3 linked regions of the Notamacropus eugenii genome follow. The protein of the gene in region 1 interacts with the protein of each later gene in a pairwise test. Links are inferred from orthologs where the notes say so. Each region holds a gene or a part of one and is shown on either strand. Other genes may lie near its edges.

The links.
Region 2: the proteins of EDA (region 1) and PLN interact in binary tests that used the Homo sapiens proteins (3 or more experiments, as listed by UniProt). The link is inferred for Notamacropus eugenii from reciprocal best matches to the Homo sapiens genes EDA and PLN.
Region 3: the proteins of EDA (region 1) and DOLK interact in binary tests that used the Homo sapiens proteins (3 or more experiments, as listed by UniProt). The two-hybrid records come from large-scale screens. The link is inferred for Notamacropus eugenii from reciprocal best matches to the Homo sapiens genes EDA and DOLK.

What each region holds. Positions count from the first base shown.
Region 1 is NC_092879.1:100,925,435-100,933,368, reverse strand, and holds the start of EDA (ectodysplasin-A), read left to right. Parts: upstream 1-4,554; 5' UTR 4,555-4,876; coding exon 4,877-5,335; intron 5,336-7,934. UniProt on the Homo sapiens protein: Cytokine which is involved in epithelial-mesenchymal signaling during morphogenesis of ectodermal organs. Functions as a ligand activating the DEATH-domain containing receptors EDAR and EDA2R. May also play a role in cell adhesion.
Region 2 is NC_092873.1:200,445,089-200,452,967, forward strand, and holds the start of PLN (phospholamban), read left to right. Parts: upstream 1-4,781; 5' UTR 4,782-4,886; intron 4,887-7,879. UniProt on the Homo sapiens protein: Reversibly inhibits the activity of ATP2A2/SERCA2 in cardiac sarcoplasmic reticulum by decreasing the apparent affinity of the ATPase for Ca(2+).
Region 3 is NC_092872.1:480,252,962-480,260,776, reverse strand, and holds DOLK (dolichol kinase), read left to right. Parts: upstream 1-4,717; 5' UTR 4,718-5,181; coding exon 5,182-6,768; 3' UTR 6,769-7,632; downstream 7,633-7,815. Other genes in the region: nucleoporin NUP188, read right to left, coding at 4,565-4,596. UniProt on the Homo sapiens protein: Catalyzes CTP-mediated phosphorylation of dolichol, the terminal step in de novo dolichyl monophosphate (Dol-P) biosynthesis. Dol-P is a lipid carrier essential for the synthesis of N-linked and O-linked oligosaccharides and for GPI anchors.

The DNA.
Region 1 (7,934 bases):
TGGTCCTCTCTGAGCACATGCCCAGGGCCCACAACGACTTTTTGCCCTGGTCCTCAACACCTAGGAAAGGGAGTAGGAAAGGGAATAAGCACTTATATAGCACCTGCTGTGTGGCAGGTAATATGCTAATCATTTTCCAAATATTATCTCGTTTGATTCTCAAAACAATTCTTTCAGGTTGGTTGTTGTCCTTCATCTTCGAAGAGGACCAAAGTGACATCACCACTGTAAAGTGAAATTTCTGTGCGTCCAGCTGTGGCTGATCAGACCTGTACAAGCTCGGAATGCTCTACCACAGGCTGGGCACAGATAGTCCGTATAAATATTTGGGGTGGATATCCCAAATTGGAGCATCCTACATTTACTTCGTGCTATCTCAATTCTGCTTTGCTCAAAGAGCACAGCACCCTTTCTGACGTGGGCACTTCATGCCGAGCGGTCCTGTGCCAGTGTCTCCCATGTTGCACAGTCAAATACAAAGTTCTTGAGAGAGACCTTGAGAGTGCCCTTGTATTGTTTCTTCTGGCCACCACGTGATCACCTGCCCCGTGCAAGCTCTCTATAAAAGTCTTTTTTGGCAAACATACATTTTGCATTTGAACAACGTGGCCAGCCCATCAGAGTTGCACTCTCTGAAGCATGGTTTGAATATTTGGCAGTTCAGCTTGAGCAAGGACTTCAGTGGTGCTATTCTTAGCACCATTTTTTAGTTGGAGAAACGGAGGCGAACAGAGGCTAAGTGTTTAAATAGAAGTTAAGTCCAGGGTCACACAGCTTGTAAATGTCTGAGGTTGGATATGAACTCAAGTCTTCCTGACTCCAGGCCCGGTGCTCTAACTTCTGTGCAACCAAGCTGCCCTATACTCCTAGGTGCAGTCTGCACTAAATTTGTGATCCAGTAGTGGGAAATGAGTGACAAGGCTGCTACTCTGCATCTGTTTCTGCTCCCTGAACATGATCAGGGGTTCTGGGCTCTCTGTGATGGATCTAAGATTTCTTACCCTAGCTCACAGTAGCAGGCAGCTCTTTATTCAGTCCCCTTGAAGGAAAGCTCAACCCATCCCCCAGTGTCTGAAGACCTCCCTGTGCGTCTCCCTATGCGGACCTGGGCATGATGAATAATTCATTATGGTTTTAAAAAAATCCTTAAGTAGGACTTGGCCTTTTGAGTTTTCTAGATCTCTGTGGAATGCTTGTAGGCAAAAGCTCAGTTGTACTTCTTCCTTCCACCCTGCCCTTGTCTGGGTTTCAACAATCAGGGGAATAGGGCATTTGACCTGGGAGAGGGGGGCAGAAAGACATTTGCTGTTGCCAGTTGTTGTAAGGATACCTCCATTCCTTCCCCCACCATGTCGGTGTCCCTCTCTGTCTCTCTGTGTGAGGGCAGGCACCTTGTGAAAGTTGAGGGCAGCTCTGAAGAGTTGCCTGGATTTCAGTGTTATTTCCTGCATATCTGTGTTCTCCTGTGTTGTGGCTGTCTCTGGAGAAAGTCTCCAGTCTTGAGTTCTGAACCCTTCCCTAATTTCTTGAGCATGTCTGGATTTGAGGTGACAGGACCCCAGAAACCAATAGTTGTAGGACCCTGATAATGCTAATGCACAGCATGACATTTGGAGAGTTGGAGGGTCCCTGGGCTACAATGTTAAGAAATGGCTGCCATTTGCTTCCATTTCCTCTTCAGATAACAAGAGGTATCCTTTTACCTCTTCACAGGTTCCTTGGAGGGGCCTTTCCTATGCAAATGCTCTAGAATCCTTTCTGAGTCTGAAATGCATCCATATTCCATGGGATATCCCACCCAGATCAACCACTAGATCAACCTCCAGATCAACCTCCAGATCCAACCACCATACTCCACTGTATTAGCAAGTCAGGACAATCCAGAACTAGCAAGTTATGTGACCTTTGGCAAGTCAGTATCCTCCCTGTGTGGTAGTTTCCCCATCTGGAAAATGAACAGACTTGATTATCTAAGAGTTCTTAAGCTGGGGTATAGAAACTTTTTAAAAAATACATTGCTAATGGTATTTCAATAGAATTTGTTTCCTTTGCATTCCTATGTATGTGATTTAAACCCTCCTGAGAAGGGATTCATAATCTTCTTCATCTGACTGCCAAAGGCCATCCCTATCTAGAACTCAAATGTGAATGGATTTTCTCCACAGAAGCCAAAAAGGTGACAAGCCCCAGAAGTCTCTGAGCTCCTAAGGCCCTTTCAGCTTTAAGTTCTGTGAATGGGTTAGTTAGGATAAACCAACTTGACAGACATTTTCAGGCATTAAAGACAATCACTAATGTCTGGAGAGAGTGAGAAGGGACCTTACCAGGCCCTTCTCACTTTAAATGGAGCTATGGGCTGAGTCAATTTTCTTATTTGTAACAGGGCTATAATTAAATAAAACCTGTATATTGTAATCTGGGGGCAGGAAGGGACATGAGGATCATAGAATTTAAGAGCTGGGAGGGACCTTTAAGATTATATCGTCTAGGGGTGGGGAATCTGTGGCCTCAAGTCTATATGTGGCCCTCTAAGTCTTCAAGTGTGGCCCTTTGAGTGAATCCAAGCTTCAGGGAACAAATCCCCTTCATAAAAGAACTTGTTCTGGAAAACTTGGACTCAGTCAAAAGACCGTACCTGAGGACCTAAGCCCCACCTATTTACAGATGAGGAAACTGAGGCACAGAGTTGCAGTGATTTGTTCAAAGTCACACACCTTGTAAGTGTGAGGGACAAAACTTGAGCTTCAGGGTCATCATTTGCAAATCCAGAGTTCTTTTTACTGTACTAAGGAAACTTTTCCCTCTAACCCCGTGACCCTTTCGTTCAATGATCTGAGCTGCCTCTTCCACTCCAGGTCAACCCAGTCAGCTCTAGCCCTAGAAAACTGTGAGTCTTTGGATCTGTCCTTTCCACCGTCCCTCATGGGCTCAAGGGGAAGTCTGACTTCAGTGTGTTTGTTGCCTTCTTGTGTTTGGTGTAATGTTAAAGATTCTGCCAGCTGTGTATTCTCCAGCTGCACATCTGGAACTCTTGGCTGACTTGTTGAACTCCCTCCCAGGGATTTCTCCAGGGAGTGAGTGGGGAGGTGTATTAAGGCTAGGACAGCTGCCTGCAAATGAAGATGCCAGAGTCCCCAGGCCACTCTCCCCTCCCCACCCCCACTTTGGGAAGATCTGCTCCATCCTGGTCATCAAATTCTCCCCTTTGTCCCCTGAAGGGACAAGTTTAGCTCTTTTCAGGAGAAAAGATTGGATTGTCATTGAACTATAGAGCTCAGTGGGACTTTAGACCAGAGAAATAATCCAGAGCCATAAGGATAAAACATGGAACACAGAATGTGACTCTCTGGAAAGACCCCAGAATCAAAAATGCTCGAGTTGGAAGAGGATCTCCGAGGCCTTATTTAGCCCAAACTTTACTTTACAACGAGGAAACGGGGAGGCGGGGGGGGGGGGGGGGGGGGGGGGGGGGGGGGAGTCACTCGTTCAGGCTTACTTACGTAGCTAGCTAGTGCCAGAGATAGAACGAAAACCCAGATTTCCTGGTCGCTCAAGTCAGCATTCTCACATCACATTAAAAGGAACTCTACTGCTCCCCCCCCCCCCGCACCCCCCCGCAAGAATCTCGCTAAGTGGTTGTCGAATGAATGAATGGCTATTTCAGTCCCCTCGGGCGGGCCCCAGCACTGGCTCTCTTGCTCCCAACTTCTGTCTCTCGCTGTCTCTGTCAGATTCTGTCTCCCTCCACCCCTACCTCTTCTCAGTCCCCTCGGGCGGGCCCCAAGACTGGGTCTCTTGTGTTCCCTTCTTCTCTGTCTGTGGCTGTCCCCCCTCTCCCCCTCCCCTCCGCCTTGGGCTCCCAGGCCGTGGCTGCTCCCGGGATTCCTGTCCCGGCTTCGTCCGTGCGCCAGCTGCCTGCGGCTTGGACCTCGGCCCTGGCTGGCAGGTTTCATTCCAAAGCCCTAACTGTTTTAATTACTTGGTCTGTGAAACCCCTGGAAGGGAGAGAGACGGAGAAGGGCTGCGCTGGGTTAGGTGGGGGCACTGGGAGGTGACGAGCAAACTTCTCTCCGTCCAGAGCTCGTTTTCCACTGGTTCAGGTCCACGAGCACTTAGTTGGCCCCTGCTGTGAGCGGGGAAGGCATGAGGCGTGGAGTGGAATCGAGTTGTGATCCAGCTCCTGCTCCCCCTTCGCGACGGAACCGGGCACAGGACAAGAACTCGCCTTTCCAGATCGCCCCTCATTGGGCTAGCCTCCCCCTGGCAGGCGCCCAAGGGTTAACTGGAGGCGGGGTCCAGAGCTGAAGGGCAGCCGCTCCCGCCAACGGGAATGGGAAAAGCGGGAAGCTGAGGGAGGAGCGAGCGGTCTGGGGCGGGACCGCACGCGGCCCGGCCCCGCCCCCTGAGAGAGGGACCGGGGTGGAGTCTTGGGGAGGGCGGGGCGCGGGGCGCCGGGAGCCGGGAGGCCGTGCCGATTGGATGGCGGAGCCATCGCTCCGCGGCCACGGGGCGGGGCCAGGCCGCGCCCCCGCCTCCCTCCGCCCGCCCCCCCGCCCGCGGAGTGGGGCCGCACACGCGGCTGCTCCCCACTCCGGCCCGCCCAGCCGCCGCCGCCGCCTCGCCCGTCTGTCCGTCCGTCCGTCCGTCAGTCCGTCGGTGCGTGTGTCCATCCGAGGTGCGGCGGCCGCGGGTGCCCCGAGCCCCCCGGCCCATGGCCGCTCAGTAGACGCGCCTGACAGGGCTCCTTCCGAGAGTGCCGGCCCAAGCAGCAGACGCGGCGGCGGCGGCGGCGCGGGGCCCACGGGCCTCCCGGGCGGACGGACGGGCGTGCGTGCGTGCGTGCGTGCCAGAGAGTGCGGGAGGCCCCCCGGAGGCCATGGGTTTCGCCCAAGAGCCTGCAGCGGCGCGCGGGGAACCCGGGCCAATCGTCGGGCCGGTCATCGGGCCGGGCCGCCGCCGGGCTAGCCAGCGAGGCTGCGGCTGTCGTGGGGGCTCGGCTTCTGCGGGCGCCTGGAGCAGCTGCCGCCTCTTCCTGGCTTTCTTCGCGCTGTCGCTGGCCCTCCACCTGCTGACACTCTGCTGCTACCTGGAGCTGCGCTCGGAGCTGCGGCGAGAGCTAGCCGCCGAGGCCCGCCGCGCCCCCGCCCCCGCCGGGCCGCCTGCCGGACCCCCCGACGCTACCGTTGATGCCTCCCGGGACTCTTTGGCCGTCCGCCGCCGGCGCCAACGCGGGCAGCTGCCACCTCAACTCCAGCAGCAGCAGCAGCAGCTGCCACCACCCGAACCCGAGTCTAGGGACACGGCGCTTCTTCCCGACCCTGGGGACCCGCAGCAGGTGAGTCACCCCTCCTGCCGGGCGGCCCAAAGAGGGAGGGAAGAAGGGTACACCTGCTCCCTTGCCCTACTGATCGCCTGTCACCTTCTGCCGCAGTAACCGGGAATGTAACTAAGTCATTAAGGAAATGGCAAAACTCATTCAGTTTGAAAGTAATTCACAAAGCTGGTCACAAAGTAACTGGCAAAGTTACTTACAAAGTTGGCCACAAAGTAACTGGCAAAGTTACTTACAAAGTTGGCCACAAAGTAACTCACTAAGTCAGTCACAAAGTAACTGGCAAAGTTACTTACAAAGTTGGCCACAAAGTAACTGGCAAAGTTACTTACAAAGTTGGCCACAAAGTAACTCACTAAGTCAGTCACAAAGTAACTGGCAAAGTAGCTCACAAAGTAATTCATCAAGTCACAAAGTAACTGGAAAAGTAACTCACTAAGTCAGTCACAGAGGACCTGGGGAAGAAATTCCCTAAGTTTTAGTCAAGGAGTATCTGGCAAAGTGACTAAGTCAGTTGGAAAGTCAATTACAAAGTAACTGGCAAACTCATTAAGCCAATTGCAAAGCAAAGTCATTGAACTAACCAGGGAGTAGAGGCAGGCCCCTTGGAGGGACCGGTCAGCTTCATGCCTGAGGATAACTACTAGCTCTTAGCAGCTACAAGGCTGCCAGCCGGAGCCAGCTGCCAGCAGCTCAAGTGAGTGCTGTGTGCCCCAGGGAAGTAACTTCTTAACCAACTCCATGTCAAACCATGTGAGATGATTTGGGTTTTACCCGCAATTTGAGAGCCATACCAGCTCGATCATTCCTTGGGAAGGGCTTACTACCTCCAAGCTATTTTAAAAGTTTGGGGAAACACTCCCCTTCCACCTTGTTGCATGTTGCCTCTGTCCCTGGAAGCTAAGGATGGGGGGGGGGGGGGCAGGGAGAGGAGGCAATGTCCAGTAGCCACATGCTAGAGAAATGAGATCTCCTCAGAGGAGCCTGAGGCAGCCTAACAAGAGACTGTATTATGTGTATATGAACTTTCTGGTGGTTTGGTTTGAATGGGTCAACTTTTAAGCTTACTTTTTTCTCCTCTTATAGTTAACCCTTTTAGGGTACATTGAGAGCCATTCTAATTGAGATTAAATTGTTTGTAAAGTGTAATAATTGCAGTGAAACAGCCTTCTGGCTTGATCACGGAACAGTCATATGTTTTTATTACTTGGGAAGAAGAAGGTACTGAGGTCAATTAGGTGCTTGAAGGTCAAGGGTAACCCTGGCATTCTCTCTGGAATATAAGAACTCAGTACCTTAGTGTCAGCCTGTGCAGGTGGGCTGTAGAGTTGGGCATTACTATTGAGGATAACTGAACATTGCTGAAGATTTAAGACTGAAGCTTTCTCTAGCCTAGATTGTAAAGTTACTTTGCGGTTTCTCTTGCTTTGCTAGCAGGCTCCAACCTATAGAAGGACTGATCAGAGAATAAGCAGGCAAGCTTGAAACTTTACACTCTGTGGCAAAATGATAATTATCTGAGATTTGGGCTCCTTTACATAACTTTCTCCTCACCCCTTCAAGCTACCCCCCTCCTCCCCCAGTAGAAATATTTTGCAGTTAAACTCTAATGGAAAGGTAAAGGAATTCAGTATCCTTTTTGGCATTCAATATATAGACAGTCCCATGTTTATAATCTGTTGATAAACAGAACATCTGGACCTCTGGGGCTTCCTTTCTTGGGGGAAAGAGGCCAGGACTGACCTCTAATGGGATTTGGGATACCTATTCTCCTAGAACGTTTCATACTGTCCTGCCTAAGTTTTAAACCTCTGCCTTCCTAGTAGGCCTGAAATTGTATTGTCCTTCTTTGTACATTTGGGCTGTAGATGCAAGCATGCTAGTACCTTATCTTTCTCCTGAGTAAGCTAGAGTGCCCCAGTCAGAGTCAGAGGATCTTGTTAGCCAAACTGATTTCAGCTTCATCTTCCAGATTTTCCTTGAATCTTTGAAACTTTCAGGCAGTTTTCAAAGTGACTTTAGCTTAGGTGAACTTCTGTGTATCTTAAAGACAATGTTTTGAGCCTTCCTCGATGTCTAAATTGAACCATTTCCAATCCAATAGTTCTGTGGAGTCCTGGGTCAAGTTTCTGGTGCTCTAGGGCACCCTCTGCTGGCTGGGCTGGGATATAGAATTCTATGCTGACAAGGATTCATGCACAGGGAAGTAAACAGCTTTTCAGGTTCTGGTAACGTAGGGCAGATTTTCATATTTTGTTTTTCAAAACAAATAACTGCTGTGGCAGCAGGGGATCTTGGATGGAGAGAGATGAGAAATACTCCAGTGTGCCGTGGGCATGTCCTGGGTCATGCTCCTCATCAAATCATCTATAGGTAGCAAAGCCAAATGAATGGGGGGCAGGGGGAGAAAACTCCCAGAAAATCTCATGCAGACATGCATGGACTGAAGTGTCAGACCAGCTCCTAGGGATAATAAGATAATATACTTAGGCACCATAGGCTTAGAGCTACAAGAGATCCCAATTGACTTGTCCAAAGTCTCACAGGTGTTAAGGACAGAACTGAGATTCTGAGATTCAAACTCAGATCCTGTAACATCAAA
Region 2 (7,879 bases), on another chromosome or scaffold:
TGGATTAAGTCAAAAGGCCACATCTGAGGACCTATGGGGCCACATGTGGCCTGATGGCCATAAGTTCCCCATCTCTGGACTGGGCATTAGGCTGTATAAAACAATCAATAAATATTGATTAAATGTCTTTAAAGCCAATTTCATACAATTTATGAATCAGTTCCCTTTTTGCCAGATACTGTGCTAGACACTGGCAATAAAGTACAAACAATGGTATTTCCACACTTACAAGGAGCTTCTATTCAGATGAGGGTCAGCTGAAAGAAATGAAAGATTTAGCCTGGAGAAGAAAACTTAACAGGAGCATAACAGTTATTTTCAAATATCTGATTGTGAAGTGGTCTTCCAAAAGTAGACTTATTCTGTTTTGGTTCCAAGAAGTAAAACAGGAATAATAAGTAAGATTCAGTGTCAGAATTAGAGATGATATAAAAAAAATCTTAATTAGAAGTAGGATAGGATCATCTGGGAAGTACTGGGTTCTCCTTCAGTAGATGTTTTTAAAAATATACTGCATGACTCACACACTGAAGAAATCTTTATTCTGGTATGAGTTTGACCTAGCCTATGAAATCTTTTTCAGCTCTAAGATTCTCAAAAACATTTGCTTTTAAGAAATACATGAGTATGCAGAGTTTGGTTGCACTTTGGGCATAGTTCCAAATTGCTCTCCAGAATGGTTGGATCAGTTCACAACTCCAACAGCACATTAGTGTCCCAATTTTCCCACATCCCTTCCAACATTTATCATTTTCCTTTTTTGTCATATTAGTCAATCTAATAGATGTGAGATGGTATCTCAGAGTTGCTTTAATTTGCATTTCTCTAATCAAGTGATTTAGAGCACTTCATTTGCCTATAGATAATTTTGGTTTCTTCTGAAAACTGCCTGTTCATATCCTTTGACCATTCATCAATAGGGAAAAATGGCTTGTAGTCTTTATAAGTTGGACTCAGTTCTCTTTATTTGAAAAATGAAGCCTTTATCAGAAATACTTACTATAAAGATTGTTTCCTTCTAATCTAGGTTGCACTGGTTTTGTTTTTGTTTGTGTTTATTTTTAATTTATTATAATCAAAATTACTTTTTTTTTCTATTTTGTAATGCTCTATCTCGTTTGATCAAAAATTCTTCCCTTCTCTATAGATCTTACAGGCAGACTATTTTAATGTCTAAATCATGTATCCCTTTTGACCCTATCTTGGTAGTATGGTATGAGATATTGGTCTATATCTAGTTTGGGCCCTATTGTTTTCCAGTTTTCCCAGCAGTTTTTGTCAAATAGTGAATTTTTATCCCAGAGGCTGGGGTCTTTGGGTTTGTGAGACATTTAATTACTGTGGTAATTTACCACTATGTCTCGTAAACCTAATCTATTCCACTGATCCACCACTCTATTTCTTAGCCAGTAGCAGATAGTTCCGATGATTACTGCTCTATAATATAGTTTGAGATCTGGAACTGCTAAGTTACCTTCCTTTGTATTTTTTTCATTAATTCCACTGATATTCTTGACCTTTTGTTCTTTCAGATGATTTGTTACTTTTTTTCTACCTCTATCAAATAATTTTGGGGAAGTTTGGAATGGCACTGAATAAATAAATTATTTTAGAGAGAACTGTCATTTTCATGATATTGGTTCAGCGTATCCATGAGCAACTGCTATCTTTCTAATTGTTTGGATCTGACATTACTTGTATGGAAAGTGTTTTGTAACTGTGCTCATATAGTTCCTGGGTTTGTCTTGGCAGGTAGGTTCCTAAGTATTTTATATTGTTTACAGTTATTTTAAATGGAATTTCTCTTTTTATCTTTTGCTTCTGGGCTTTATTGGTCATATAAAGAAATACTGCTTATTTATGTCTTATATGCTGCAACTTTGATAAGTTGTTTCTTAGTTGATTCTCTAGGGTTCTCTAGTATAGCATCACATCATACACAAAGTGATAGTTTTGTTTCCTCACTGCCTATTCTAATTCTATTCTAAGTGCCTTGAGGACAGGGGTTGTTTTTAACTTTCTTGGTATATAGCACAGTGCCTGGCATAGAGTAGGAGCTAAATATATGCTTGTTGACTTGGAAAGAATAAAAACTTCAAATTGAAATGCTGAGGCAATTCTAATGATTAATCTCAGCCTCCTCTTCCCTCTAACAGGAATGCTAGAGGGCAGAACACTAAGCTCCACCCAAAGCTTTCCTTTATCTACACATTTGCTTGGTCTCAAAATGCTCCCCCATCTTCTCCCTCTACACACATCTCTTCTGCCCCTACAATCTGCAAGGCCCAGACCAGTCAATCCTTTGCTCCTGCTTCTAACTCTGTATTTGTCCACCATGCTCCGATGAGTACCTTCCCCTGGATCTACTCCCACTCCTGTACCTAACACAAAGCTTGGCACATTGTGAGGGTTCAGTCAGAATCTCCTCCAACTCTAACCTCCCCCCTGTTCTAATGGTCAAGTTCCTCCTCAGAATCTACTCATACCAGCCATGAATACTTTTAATACCAGCTAAACCCTCAATCCTATTGACTACTACATTTCCTTGAAAGCAAACTCTTTCTGCGTGTGTGTGTGTGTGTGTGTTATTGTTCAGCATAGTGCCTAGAACACATAGCAACTCTAAGGCTCAGAATACATTCAAAAGCACACTGACATTTCTTAAGTGTTTGCACTCCTTGTTTTTTAAAAAGAGGCTTAGACTCTAAGACAAGAGTAGGCCAAACACAGGCATCTCTTCATACTTATACACAAAAGAGAAGAAATTCTTCGTTTGTACGTTGTTATTCCTACATACTATTTCTGCTAATTTTCTGAATCCCTAGGAAATTAATAAACAAATACATAATGAGCATATTAGAATTAAGCATACAGTAAACTTCTGGTTTATCAAACTAAATTACCACCAAACTCCATTTTCCAAGAATTGCAAACTTTCTTCTTTTTAATGACTTCAAATTTTTTCTTTTCCTAATAAAAAAGATATCCATCCAGATATGTTCGGATTTTAATAGATACCATCCAGATTTAAAACATCATTTTTTAAAGTTATCAAGAGTCTGTTGGCTTCTGTCTCTCCCCATTTGTCATAATATCAATATATACTGTAAATCTGTTTTAAATCTCCCATTCTCTGAATCTTCTGCTCTATAATAGTTCACAAAAGTAACAGAAATGTACTCTGGAATGAATGGGATTTAAAATTTTAGCTACACAACATTTTTCACTTGGAAAAAGTATTAAACACAAGAGAACAAGAGAAATATGAGGTTTTTAAAGTTCTGTAGGAAAAACTACTCATTTCATTCATTTTTATGTATACTTTTCAGGTATTCCATTTTTACTTTATTATATCCATAAAACATTTTCTCCCAAAATATTATTTTAAAATCAGTTTTCACTGGTTCTTTAAATAAATGGAGAATGAAAAAATGCTCCCAGATATGGATTCTTATCTTCCTCTGGAGGAATACCAGAAGATATCCATTTAAGGACACATAAAACAGCAGCTGCAGATTTTAAAGGCTACTTGATTTGCTTATGTAGAACTAATATCAATGCATATAAAAATGCAGAGTAAATGTACTATATTTTTTTTTTTTTACAAATTCCATAGTATACACTGAACACAAACAAAAATAAACAAGAAATCCCTAAAACAATACATCACTTTTTAAAAAAAGATTTTGGAATGCTTTTTGTACCTTAGAAATATTAAACTTAAGTTTTTATTTCTGAAAGCAGAAATTTTAAAATGCTTAAGCAAATTAATTACCTAGAAGAGATATATACCCATACACAACACACATATGCTAGCAATCACCCTTTAGCTGTTTTAATAAATTTTAATTTAAACTATATTTACATAGTAAGCATATGTCTATACATCCCTCCATATACATTAGCAAATTAGAGAGGCATAACCTTTGGGATCCAGCCTAAAAATAGCTGAAATAAGAATCCAGCAGAAACGCAGCATTTACATGTGAACATTGGTGAGACCAATGCTATGTAACAGAAATGAGTCAAATCTATGCCTACTCATTCCAGAGACCACGTTAGAACAGGAGTGTTAAAATCAATGGCTTGTGCTTTTGTTCTTGCTTAGCTTTCAAATAAATGACCTTTTTACAAAAACTTTAAAAAAAAAAAGAATTAAAAAGTGATTACCACTGAATGTATATGTATGCGTGTGTGTGTATGTATGCACATATGAACACGTACTAAGGATGTATCAATTTGTGTTTAAATGAAAAAAATTCAAAATTCTTTTAAACTTTTAATATTAGACAATCACAGAATTAAATATAAAACTGAACAGAGATAGCACTTTGGCCCAGTGACTCAATGGGAATGCATCTAATTAGAAGCATCAAGTTCCTTATTATTACTGCAACTTGAAAAGTTCTGTAAATAAATCACTTACTACTTGAAATTTTTACAATATGAAAATTTTATAATACACCAAAAACATCTAGGGGAGGGGATTCTTTAAAAGCTTTCTGAACAAAAACAAAACAAACTATCAAGAGCAAACATGGCACTCTCTTTTATATAAGAACCAGCCTTATAGTTCACCATTTGCTTTTTTCAATAAGTAAAATATCAAAGGCTGGTGACCTTTGCAGTTCTAAAGTAGTATTAATCACGGTTTCAGTGAGTTTGATTGGATAATCTCAGTGTTGAGGTATATAATAACCAATCACAACTTCTCAATTAGTGTATGACATCATGGGTCCTCCCTCTGAAACTTCTCTTTCTCCACCTACTTCAACTGTTTCCACAAATATAGTGACATTCAAAAAAAAGGTGCCAGTAAAACACGAGGACTTCAGACAACTGAGAGCATACTGCACTACATGTTTGCAATTATCTGAGCAGCCAAGGTAAGAGACTTATTTTTTAACTATCTTTGGTAACTCTTTAATCCACTACTCAGATTTTAGTCTTTTTTATATATGTTGAAACAAAGCCATTATGCTGTTTTTGAATGATTTGTATATTTTAGTTCTGAGCCAGACATCACTTAAAAATCTAATTAAAAAGTTTTGCTTCTAAATAAAAACACTTCCCCCAGAACACATTAATGCATATACCTCAGTTTCCCCATCTTTGAGAGGGGATAAGTCCTTTAAACACACACACACACACACACACACACACACACACACACAAAACACTTCAAGGTCAAAAAGTCCAAAAAGGACTAACATACCTTTAACACAAATTCATTTTATAAATACTAATTGTGAAATTATATTCACTTTTAGCATCTTTCATAATACTGTTATTATATACTTCCTCATTATCACTTCCTACTGAATAATTTTAACTGAAAAAATTAAGAGGTAACACAAGGATAGAACTTTTACTTACATCTTGTAGAATTGTAAACATTCCTGTGACTGTACAATACACTGATTTTTTCAGTAACAGTTACAACTCTTTATACTGAAATTAACAACTGAAGAATGTAAATGCCATAAACTTATTTCAAGGACTGTGTTTTTTTTGTTCAAGAGAAAATGCTTTTTTTAAAAAAGGAGCACTTCTACATGACCTAACACCATGTTAAAAATCGTGATCTAAGCTAAACTGAATACCAAGCATTAAAAGCTACTTGGTGATCCTCAAAATATTTATAGAACATAGGGAAAAATAGTCTTTCCTAATTAGAAAACAACCACTTGAATCTAATAATATAGAGTGCTTTCTGTTAGAATGAGAATTCTGGGCTGCTTCATTTGACTCTGCATGTGATTTAATATATTTCTGCCAATGACTGACTTTAAACCAGTTTTTTCCTTTCTATGTTCTTGTTTTCACTTGGGATAAAATATCGTTCTAACACATAATTTTACCTTCCTGCCCTAGGAATTTACTTGAAGCTTCAAGCATCACTATGATTTTTTTTTTTGAAAAGCGGGAACTTTGGTTTTCTCTACAACAGGGGTTCTTAACCTATTTTTGTGTCATAGAACACATTAACAAGCTGTAGAGGCTTATGGTCCTCAGAATAATGTTCTGAAATGTGTAAAAATAAAATACATAGGGAGGGAGATCAATTATTTTGAAACAAATTAATCAAAATATTAAAAATCAGGTTCACAGGTCCCAGATTAATAATCCCTGCTTAGCACAAATTTCATCTAAAGTTCCTTTCCACCTCTCACTGTGGTAGATATTTTACCTTAGTTTGTAGAGCTGTCTGTGCAAATAAGAAAATTTTAGCAAGCACTAACTACGGACCAGATAAGCTTTAAGAACAAATATGAGTTTTGAAGTCAAAGGACCTGGGTTGAAATTATTACTCTGCTACTTATTTGTGTACAATAGCAAGCCACTTCCAAGGCTCAGTTTCCTCATCTTCTAGAGTTGGCAGACCCCTTCTAGCTGTAAATTTATGATCTGATGTGCCATTTGTTTACATAATAATGGAGCTCTTTTAAGAATATGCTGTTTATTTCTATAAAATACTCTATCAGACACAAGAATACATATATACATATATATTTATACATGCACTTGTTTTAGAAATGATCAGATCACATCAAGATTAAATTAAATACCTTATATTTTAAGTTGGTGAGTTCCCATTAGAATTCAAAGAGCTAATCTCTAAAAGATTAACAAAATTTCAAAACCATGTACAACAAGGAGCTGGGGAAAATCCTGAATGAATAAATACACTGCTAAAAATCAATACGTTCTGTTTTATAACAGATTTTTATTTATACATGCTCAAGTTTAAAAGCAGTCTTTAAACTGAAAACTGGAACTTCTGGCTAAAAGTTGAATCAACAAATATAAGTTAACATCTAGGATGACTAACTTATATTCTTAGCATTAAAGCCAATTATCCATAGGCTAGCTCCCGAACATAATTTAAGATGTACCAGAAAAATGCAACGAGTGATAAAATTTAAGAGCTGAAAGAGATCTTAGAGTTGTCTCAGAACACCCCTAAATTTAAAACAAACTGATGACCAAAAGAATTCAGTGGCTTGCCAGAGCACACTGCTTCTATCAGAACTAAGACAAAAAAAAAGTCAGCACTCCTTCCTTATATTACTTTGCCCATCCTCATCTGATCAATTGACACCTGAAATCACAATAATGTGGATTTCATTCCACAACAAGATATAAAGTTTAAAATGTAAAATATGTGAGAGTTGATTTAAATTCACACTAAATTATAAATAACTAAAAGCTGACTTTTGTATAAGGTTTCAACTAGAGAATGACAGGAGAATGCAGGAGAAACAGTAGATATACCTTAAAAGAGAGAAAACAAAACAGGCCTAAAAAGGAGAGGTTGAGAGATTCCAAAAATCAACAGATCTCAAGAGTGCACTTGTATGCAAAGTACACTGCTAAGAAAAGCTGGGGAAGAGCGTTTAATTTCACTAATGTCACATAAGGGCCCTGCAGTTCAGGAAGGCTACCAGTGTTGGTTTCTCACATAAATTTTCTCTTCCTAAGCACACAGTGAAATGGTCAGACAATGATATCTGTACCACCTGACACACAATGAGTATTCAAGTTCTTTCACTTTACTGGCACTTCATTTTCTCACATACAGTTCCATATAAATAGAATATCACCCACAGGGCTGAAAAATACCATAAAATCCTATTATAAAACTAGTTTATCATAGTATAGGTTTCATTATATTGAGTCAAAGCATGTCCCTTTAGTAGGGCAAACTGCAAGGCAGCATGACAACATGTGTAAAGTAAAAGCCCAGTTGGAAGAACTCCTGGGATTCCTGTCCTGTCTCTAATAAAAGCTAGCTGTGTGACCAGGGACTGTCACCCTCTGCATCAGTTCCCTTATCTATAAAGAGGATATTAATAGCACATACCTCCCAGCGTTGTTG
Region 3 (7,815 bases), on another chromosome or scaffold:
AATTGTAATAGGGGAATCATGTTGGTTTTATCTTTTTTTGGTTCAGACGTGTAATTTCAATTCTTTGGGGAATTCCCAGTATAGAAAATTCTACCAAGATAGCTCAGCATCTGTCCATAACTTATAACTGAGAAATTGGCATTGAGAGCTCAATCTATGTTAGTACAGCTAATATGTGTCAAGAAATGGACTAGAACCTGTGTGTTCCTTACTCTAAGGCTAATTATCTATCCATATTTCATGCTTCCTGTCACTGGTTCTATATCTCTTGGAAATACCTCCTTTGGTCATTCAGGAAACATGATTTTTCTTTTAAACTTCTTAGAATTAGGGAACGAGACTAGACCCTGTCATGCAGGTCAGCACCTTTGCTACAAATTTTAGTCTCTCAAGAATGTTGCCTATAAATCTGAGAGGTTAAGTGTCTTGTTCAGGTTCACAAAGCCAGCATGTATCAGAGGTGGGATTTTAACCCAGGCCTTTCTAGCTCCTAAGGCCAGCTCTCTACTATACCACTTTGCCACCCAATCTAGAATTAAATTTTAAAATGTGTCCTACAATACTGGCCTCTCTGGAAGCCATACGAAGAGGGGAAAAAAAGAGGTTGGGAACAATATTTTTATAAAAGCTTCCTGGATCAATGCATGGGTTGAATAATGTGTCTTACTGTCATCTAAAGATTATCCATCCTAGCTAAATTTAAAGGGGCTCACCACCAGGAGGCTGGCCATCAAAGTGATACGATTCTCTGACAACAGCAACTCACTTAAACTTCTACTAAGGTGTGGAGAGCTTGTGATTTATATTGGTAAAGGAAGTACCCACATGGGTCACTGAAATATAATATAAATGATAGAAATTTATCTTTCCAGTCTAAAAACCAATTTTCAGAATTCTCAAATTAAGGAAATCTGAAATATATCTAAAAAGTCTGTATTTGGTTCCTAAGGGCTGATACTTAGAAAGACAAAGAATCAGATATTACTATCTCTTCCCCTCACTGAGCTTTCTGTACAAGAAGCACTCCCAAATTCATTGCTCAAAAATAATTAGAAGAATATTAACAATAGCTGACATCTATACAGTGAGTTTAAGGCTGCAATACATTTTATATACATTAAATTATTTGTACCTCAGAACTTTGTGAAGCAGGTATCACAAGAATTATTATCTCCCATTTTAGAAATGAGAAACCTATGACTCAGAGAGATCAAATGACTTTAACCATGGTCATACAACTATTAAGTGTTTGAGACAGGATTCAATCCCATGTCTTCCTGACCCCAACTCTAGCATCCACTCCACAACTCCACACTGTCTATCCTATTAGTAAAATATAGGTGTACCTTACATAAGTGTTTTACAAAAGAAACCCCAAATCTCCTAGCTTCTAAGCCCAAAATAAAACACTCTACGTGACATATCACACATAAAGTCATAGAAACATGGACCCAAAGCTGGAAGAGACTCAGAGGCCATCTAGTCTATATCCTTATTTTACAGATGGGGAAAATGAGACCCAGAAAGGTTAAGTGACTTGCTTAGGCTAGACACAGTCAGCCATTTAAACACAGGACTTTGGATGCTAAAGTTATGGGATACAAAAATTATCTTCCCTAGAGACATTCATCCGGCTGAATACTTTAGGTAAGTCTGCTTGAGAGCTGAGTTTCTTCAGTTCTATAAACTAAGATGCAAAACTGGGATACAGATATACAACTCTGATGATGTAATTTTTTTTTTTTTAACAGACATCCCACAGGGACAATAAATAAAAGACGTCTACTGATTCTCATGAGTCCAACGACAGAGGCATAAACTGAGATTCAAGCTTAGCAACAAAAACCTTTTAAACAGCAGTTCTATTTTTGTTTACAGTATATATACACACAGCTTGGCTTTTTGCAAATGCATTAGCTAAAGAATAAAAGGGATATAAGAAAAACACCAACAATTAACTGATTTCTACTCAATCTCTGGGTTGCTTTCCCAAGAGAAAATTTCTGAACAGGATAAATTTAGAGCTGGAAGGGACTTCAGAAGTCATCTAGTTTAATGGTATCTTCTTGATTTATATATACATCTCTCAAGGAACTCAAAGTAACTGACATCTCAATTCTTTTCACCTATAAGACCTTGTTATGAAAATCTCTAATGGTGAACTAATTGCCTTTTTATTATACTTGGGAGAAACTTTAGAATTAGTACAATAATTTATCTAAAGGACTCAGTGACTCAAAAGCTACCAGAAATACAACCTAGGGTTTTCAACTTTTAGTCTAAAAACCTAGACATTTTAAGAAGGAGTTGCAGTATTTTTCCTGAAAGGGGGCTTATCTTGAACAAGGAGAATGGAGAGCTGACTCTAATACAGACCACAAGCTACTCTATGACTAGAAATACATTCTATTGAGTCAGTGGTATTTACTTCTAGGTTTCTTATATGAGTCTGATAGGTAGCTCATTAGGCAACTAGGTGGTGGAGTAGATAGAGCTCTGTACCTGGAGTCAGGAATACCTGAGCTCAACAATCCAGTCTCAGACACTTATTAGCTGTGTGACCTTGGGCATGTCATTTAACCCTATTTGCCTGTTTCCTCATCTGTAAAATGAGCTGGAGAAGGAAATGGCAAGCCACTCCAGTATCTTTGCCAAGAAAACCCTACATGGTGTCCTAAAGAGTTGGATACAACTCAAACGACTAAACAAGGTAGTTCAGTGGTAACTCTCTTACCTATTTTTAATAAAATAGCATGCCTTGATCTACAAGGAAACTTTGAGGTGTCTGAAGCACAACTTTAACACCAAGGCTCTGCAATAGTTATGAAACATCAACAAAGAGGATGAAGGAATCTTGATCTTGACTACTGTAACATCACACAAAAAAACTAAAGAGGGTAAGACAACTGCCACAAAGTCTCTGACATAAATCCTGCACAGAGGGCTGTGCAAGAGAAGGTTCCATGGCTAAACTTCCCCTTTTATGCACTTCCACATTCTGATTTGTATTACAATTATCTGAGTATAAGTCAGCTTCCTTGATTATTTCGTCCTCAGATTTTTCATAGAACTCAATATGGACCTCTCCTTTGCACTTATTAAATACACTATGTATTATCTACTACTAAACTAAACTTTCTAGAGGCAGGAACTATGCCATTCTTTTCATCTTTTTTACCTCTAGAGCTTGGCATAGCACCTTGAACATAGAAAGTACTGACACCCCCAAGAGGATATGAATCAAGAGCTGTAGAAGGAAAAATCTATATCAGGGATGCAACAAAACGGCCAAAAGATCCATGATCTCGTAAGAATGAGAACTTCCACCTTCAGTAAAGATTCCTGGGTATGGTGATCTACTCAGGAAGACCTTAAACTCTTTCTTAGCTGTATGTCCTTGGGCAGATCATTTCACCTAATCTATAAAATGAACGGACTGGACCTTCGACAGGCCCCTTCAAGCTCTTGATCTATGATCTCAAACCCCTCCTCTCTTTCCAGCACAACATGATGAATGGGTTTTCTGAGTTGCAATAGCTGAAAAAAAAAATTCATCCCCTGGTAGCCAAACCTTTCTGAACTTAGTGAGGGCGGTACTCTGATAGCAGTCTTACCGCAGTCCAGCAGGGTTCACAGATCGTGACCTAAACGCTACCTCCTTCTACAGACGAGGAAACTGAGTCTCAGGATGGCTACATGACTTAAGGTCACACAGTAAGCCTTCTCTGGCCGGACAGGCGCTTCTTTGTACAATGTCAGTTCCAGTCTGGCGGCCCCTTTCAGTTCTACAGGAATTAAAACCACCAAGAGAAACATTCCAGCGCCTTCTATGGAGGAATCAGCCACACTCATGGGGTCAAAGATCCATCTACCTGTCTTTGAGCCGAGTTCCTGAATAAATGTCCCTCTCTTAAAACCCTTCCCCAGGGCTGAAGAGCCTCCCCCGGCCAAGGGAGCCTTGCACGGAACACGTGGGTTCAATCTTTCTGCACTTAACGCCAGTTAAGATGAATCTCCTCTCCCCGGCCTTGCACAAAACAGCGTCTCAGACAAGTCTGCAGAACTAATGAATGAATCTGCCGACGCCTGCCGCTCCTGCTCGGCCGCGGAGAGGGCGGCTCCCCACTACAGGCCTGCCCCAGCGCGCCGAGCGGGGGAGGCAGGGGCGGGGGCGGTTCCAGGAGCAGGCCACGCCCCCCGCGGGAGGGGCAGCCCCAGCCTGCGGGAGTCCGGGGACTGCAGCACCAGCGCGGGGAAAGGGGAGGAGGGATCTGGCGTGCGCGCTCACACACCAAGGGAGGAGGGGCTGCTCGCGCCTCGGCCGCCCCACTCCCCCGCCTCCTAGTGCCCCTCCGCGCGCTGGGGGCCTCGTGCCTGGGACGGGGGCCGGTTGGAAAGTAACCGACTCGTCGCCCGCCAACCTGGCCCCACCGTCGCTGCCCTCGGCGCCGGTTCCTCCACTCCCTCTATATTCGGCCTCTCTCCGCCTCCCGCCCTCCATTCACCCCTGCTCCCTCTCCCCACACTCCCCCTCCAGCCAGCATCAAGAATTCCCGGCCCGTACCTCACACAGAGCCCGCCGGCGGCAGCCGCCATCTTCGCGTCCCCCCCACGTGACCGCGCGGTAGCCCGCGCGCTGGGCCGCCTGCCTCACGTGATCGCGTAGGGGCGTGACCGAAGAGTCAAATGGAAGGAGTCGAACGGTTGGACCAGCCTCCGCTGTTTAGGCTGGCCAGGCGTCTGTCACGTGACCTTCCGGGCTTAAGATGGCGGCTCCCAGGGAGGTGAAAGCCCTCGTTTGAGGGCAGAAGACCGAGTGGGTGAGGGCCAGGTAGTGCTGGAGCTGGATCTCTGACAAGGAGGTGGGAAAAGGGAAGGTGTGCCGGCTTCGCGGCTGCTGCCGGCGAGGTGGCACCCTACATCATCTCCCCGAGTCCTGAAAGGGGATGGAGAGGGGACAGTGAGTCTCCAGCCTACTGTGGACACTGGGGTCCCTGACACGTGCCCTCCCTCGGGGCTGTCTGACGCAGCGCGCTCTCCCCAAGCAGCTGCCAGCCCGTCGCCCTTTTTTTCTTTGTGGCAAACCCTCAGGCTTCTTCTGACCTTTTCATCCATGATCCAGAGCCCCCCCCACTGTGGAAGGGAAACGTGGCAGCGCCCATCCAAGCTGAGGGTGGTCGAATGGCTGCAGCCATGACGAGCAGAGCCGCGCTGGGGGAAGCCGCCATTGTGTTCGCGGTGGTGCTGAGCATCCATGCCTCGGTGTGGGACCGCTACTCCTGGTGTGCCGTGGCCCTGGCTGTGCAGGCCTTCTACGTCCAGTACAAGTGGGACCGGCTGCTCCAGCAGGGGGCTGCGGTCTTCCAGTTCCGGACCACAGCTAACAGCGGCCTGCTTCCGGCCTCCATGGTCATCCCTCTGCTGGGGGTGGTGATGAAGAGGCGCTGCGAGGGTGTGGGAAACGTCTACTTCGAGCGCTTCGGCGTTGTGGTGGCAGCCACCGGAATGGCACTGGCGCTTTTCCTGTCCGTGTTGGCACTGGGCATCACCAGGCCAGTGCCCACCAACACCTGTGTCATCTCTGGTCTGGCTGGGAGTGTCATCATCTACATCATGAAACACTCGTTGAGTGTGGCAGAGGTGATTGAGGTCCTCGAGGTCCTGCTGATCTTTGTCTACCTCAACATGATCCTACTGTATCTGCTACCCCGGTGCTTCACCCCAGGGGAGGCATTGCTTATCCTAGGGGGCATCAGCTTTGTCCTCAACCAGCTCATTAAGCGATCCCTAAATGTTATCCAAGGCCGAGGAGACCCTGTAGACTTCTTTCTCCTGGTGGTAGTAGTAGGGATGGTTATCATGGGTATCTTCTTCAGCACATTCTTTGTCTTCATGGACTCTGGAACCTGGACATCTTCTCTTTTCTTTCATCTAATGACAGGTGTGCTGGGCCTTGGTGTCGTCATGCCCTGGTTGTACCACCTAATCCGGGAGAACCCCTTGCTCTGGCTTTTCCAATTCCTATTCCAGTCAGAAACTCGTATCTACCTCCTGATCTACTGGTCTCTGCTGGCTGCTTCAGCCTGCTTAGTTGTGATGTACCAAAATGCTAAGAGATTATCTTCTGAGTCAAAGAAACATCAGGCCCCCACAATTACCCGGAAGTATTTCCACATCATCGTAGTGGCTACTTATATACCAGGACTTATATATGACCGACTCTTACTGTATGTTGCAGCTGTGGTCTGCCTAGCTGTCTTTATCTTCCTTGAGTATATTCGCTTCTTCCGAATTAAGCCCCTGGGCCAGACTCTGAGAAACCTGCTCTCCCTCTTCCTTGATGAAAGAGACAGTGGCCCCCTCATCCTGACTCACATTTACCTGCTGCTGGGCATGTCTCTCCCTGTTTGGCTATTCCCAAGACCTTGTGCCCCAAAGGGTAGCGTGGAAGGAGTTGGGGCTCTGGTCCCTTATGCAGGAGTGCTGGCTGTGGGAGTAGGTGACACCATTGCTGCCATTTTTGGCAGTACAGTGGGGGAGATCCATTGGCCAGGAACTCTGAAGACTTTTGAAGGGACAATGACTTCCATATTTGCTCAAATCATTTCTGTGGCTTTGATCTTAATCTTTGATAGTAGGGTAGACCTTAACTCCAGCTATGCTTGGATTTTGGGGTCTCTCAGCATAGTCTCCCTCCTGGAAGCCTACACTACTCAAATAGATAATCTTATCTTACCTCTCTACCTCCAGATTCTGCTGATGGCTTAGCCTTCATGCAAGGATCACAGGAGGAAGTAAGTTAAAGAGAGACATATGGCCCATAGTCAGCATTTAGCCATTTGGGTATGATAGGTCAGGTAGTGAAAAGCTGATTCACTTTTGCAGTAAATTGAGATTTAAAATAAAATCAAAGCTGCCCTTGCATTTTAGCTCTGTTGATTTGAAAATAAGGTAACATTTCAGATGAAGGAATTGGAAGGACATACCAGTGAGGGTTTCCAGTGGAAGTGCATTTTTTTAACACTTAATTTTTATTTCATTTTTCTCAGTTATGTGGAAGCACATTCTTCACGGTGATAGAGCCCATTTAGACAGCGGAAGATGTGTTTTGAGAAATCAAAATCCAGCCTTGAAAAATAGCTTCTCATGGTGAATAATTAATTTATATCTAATAATTTAGAGAATTGTGAAAACTGGATTTTGTTTACTAGGCTTGATTTTGTAGAAGAGAGTGAAAGGAGAAGCTTTTTGTAACATTTATGAGAATGTTTTAACTGGGTAAAGGGGGAGAAGAGTGCAAAAGAGTGAATGAGGAAATAGTGGAGCTAATGCCATTTATTTTTTCTAAGTGGGCCATAGTGTGCCATGTCAGAACTGGATTAGTATAGGTGGTTACTTGGAAATTAGGAGCCCCTAGGGGTGGAAGTGGGTAACAGAGGAACTAAGAGAAGATACTAGAATAGATATTGAGGGTCAATTGTGGAGAATGTGAGAAATCGGGGAGTACTCTATATCAGAGATCCAAATCACAGGGCTGCATGCAACCCAAAATACTCCTGAGTACCGCCTGAACCAGATGAAAATATAATTGGGAAATATTTAACAAAATAAATAAAAATGCAATAAAACATAGATGATGTTAAAGCATGATTTTCTAAGTCAATATGCAACCCACAGGGATCCTTATGTACAGTTTAGTGGTCCTTGTTTCTATTTGATTTTTGACACCAGTGTTCTAGAGCTGTGCTTCCTGACCTAAATGATCATTGTGAATCATAAACATTGGGAACCCTGAACAGTAAAATAAATAACATC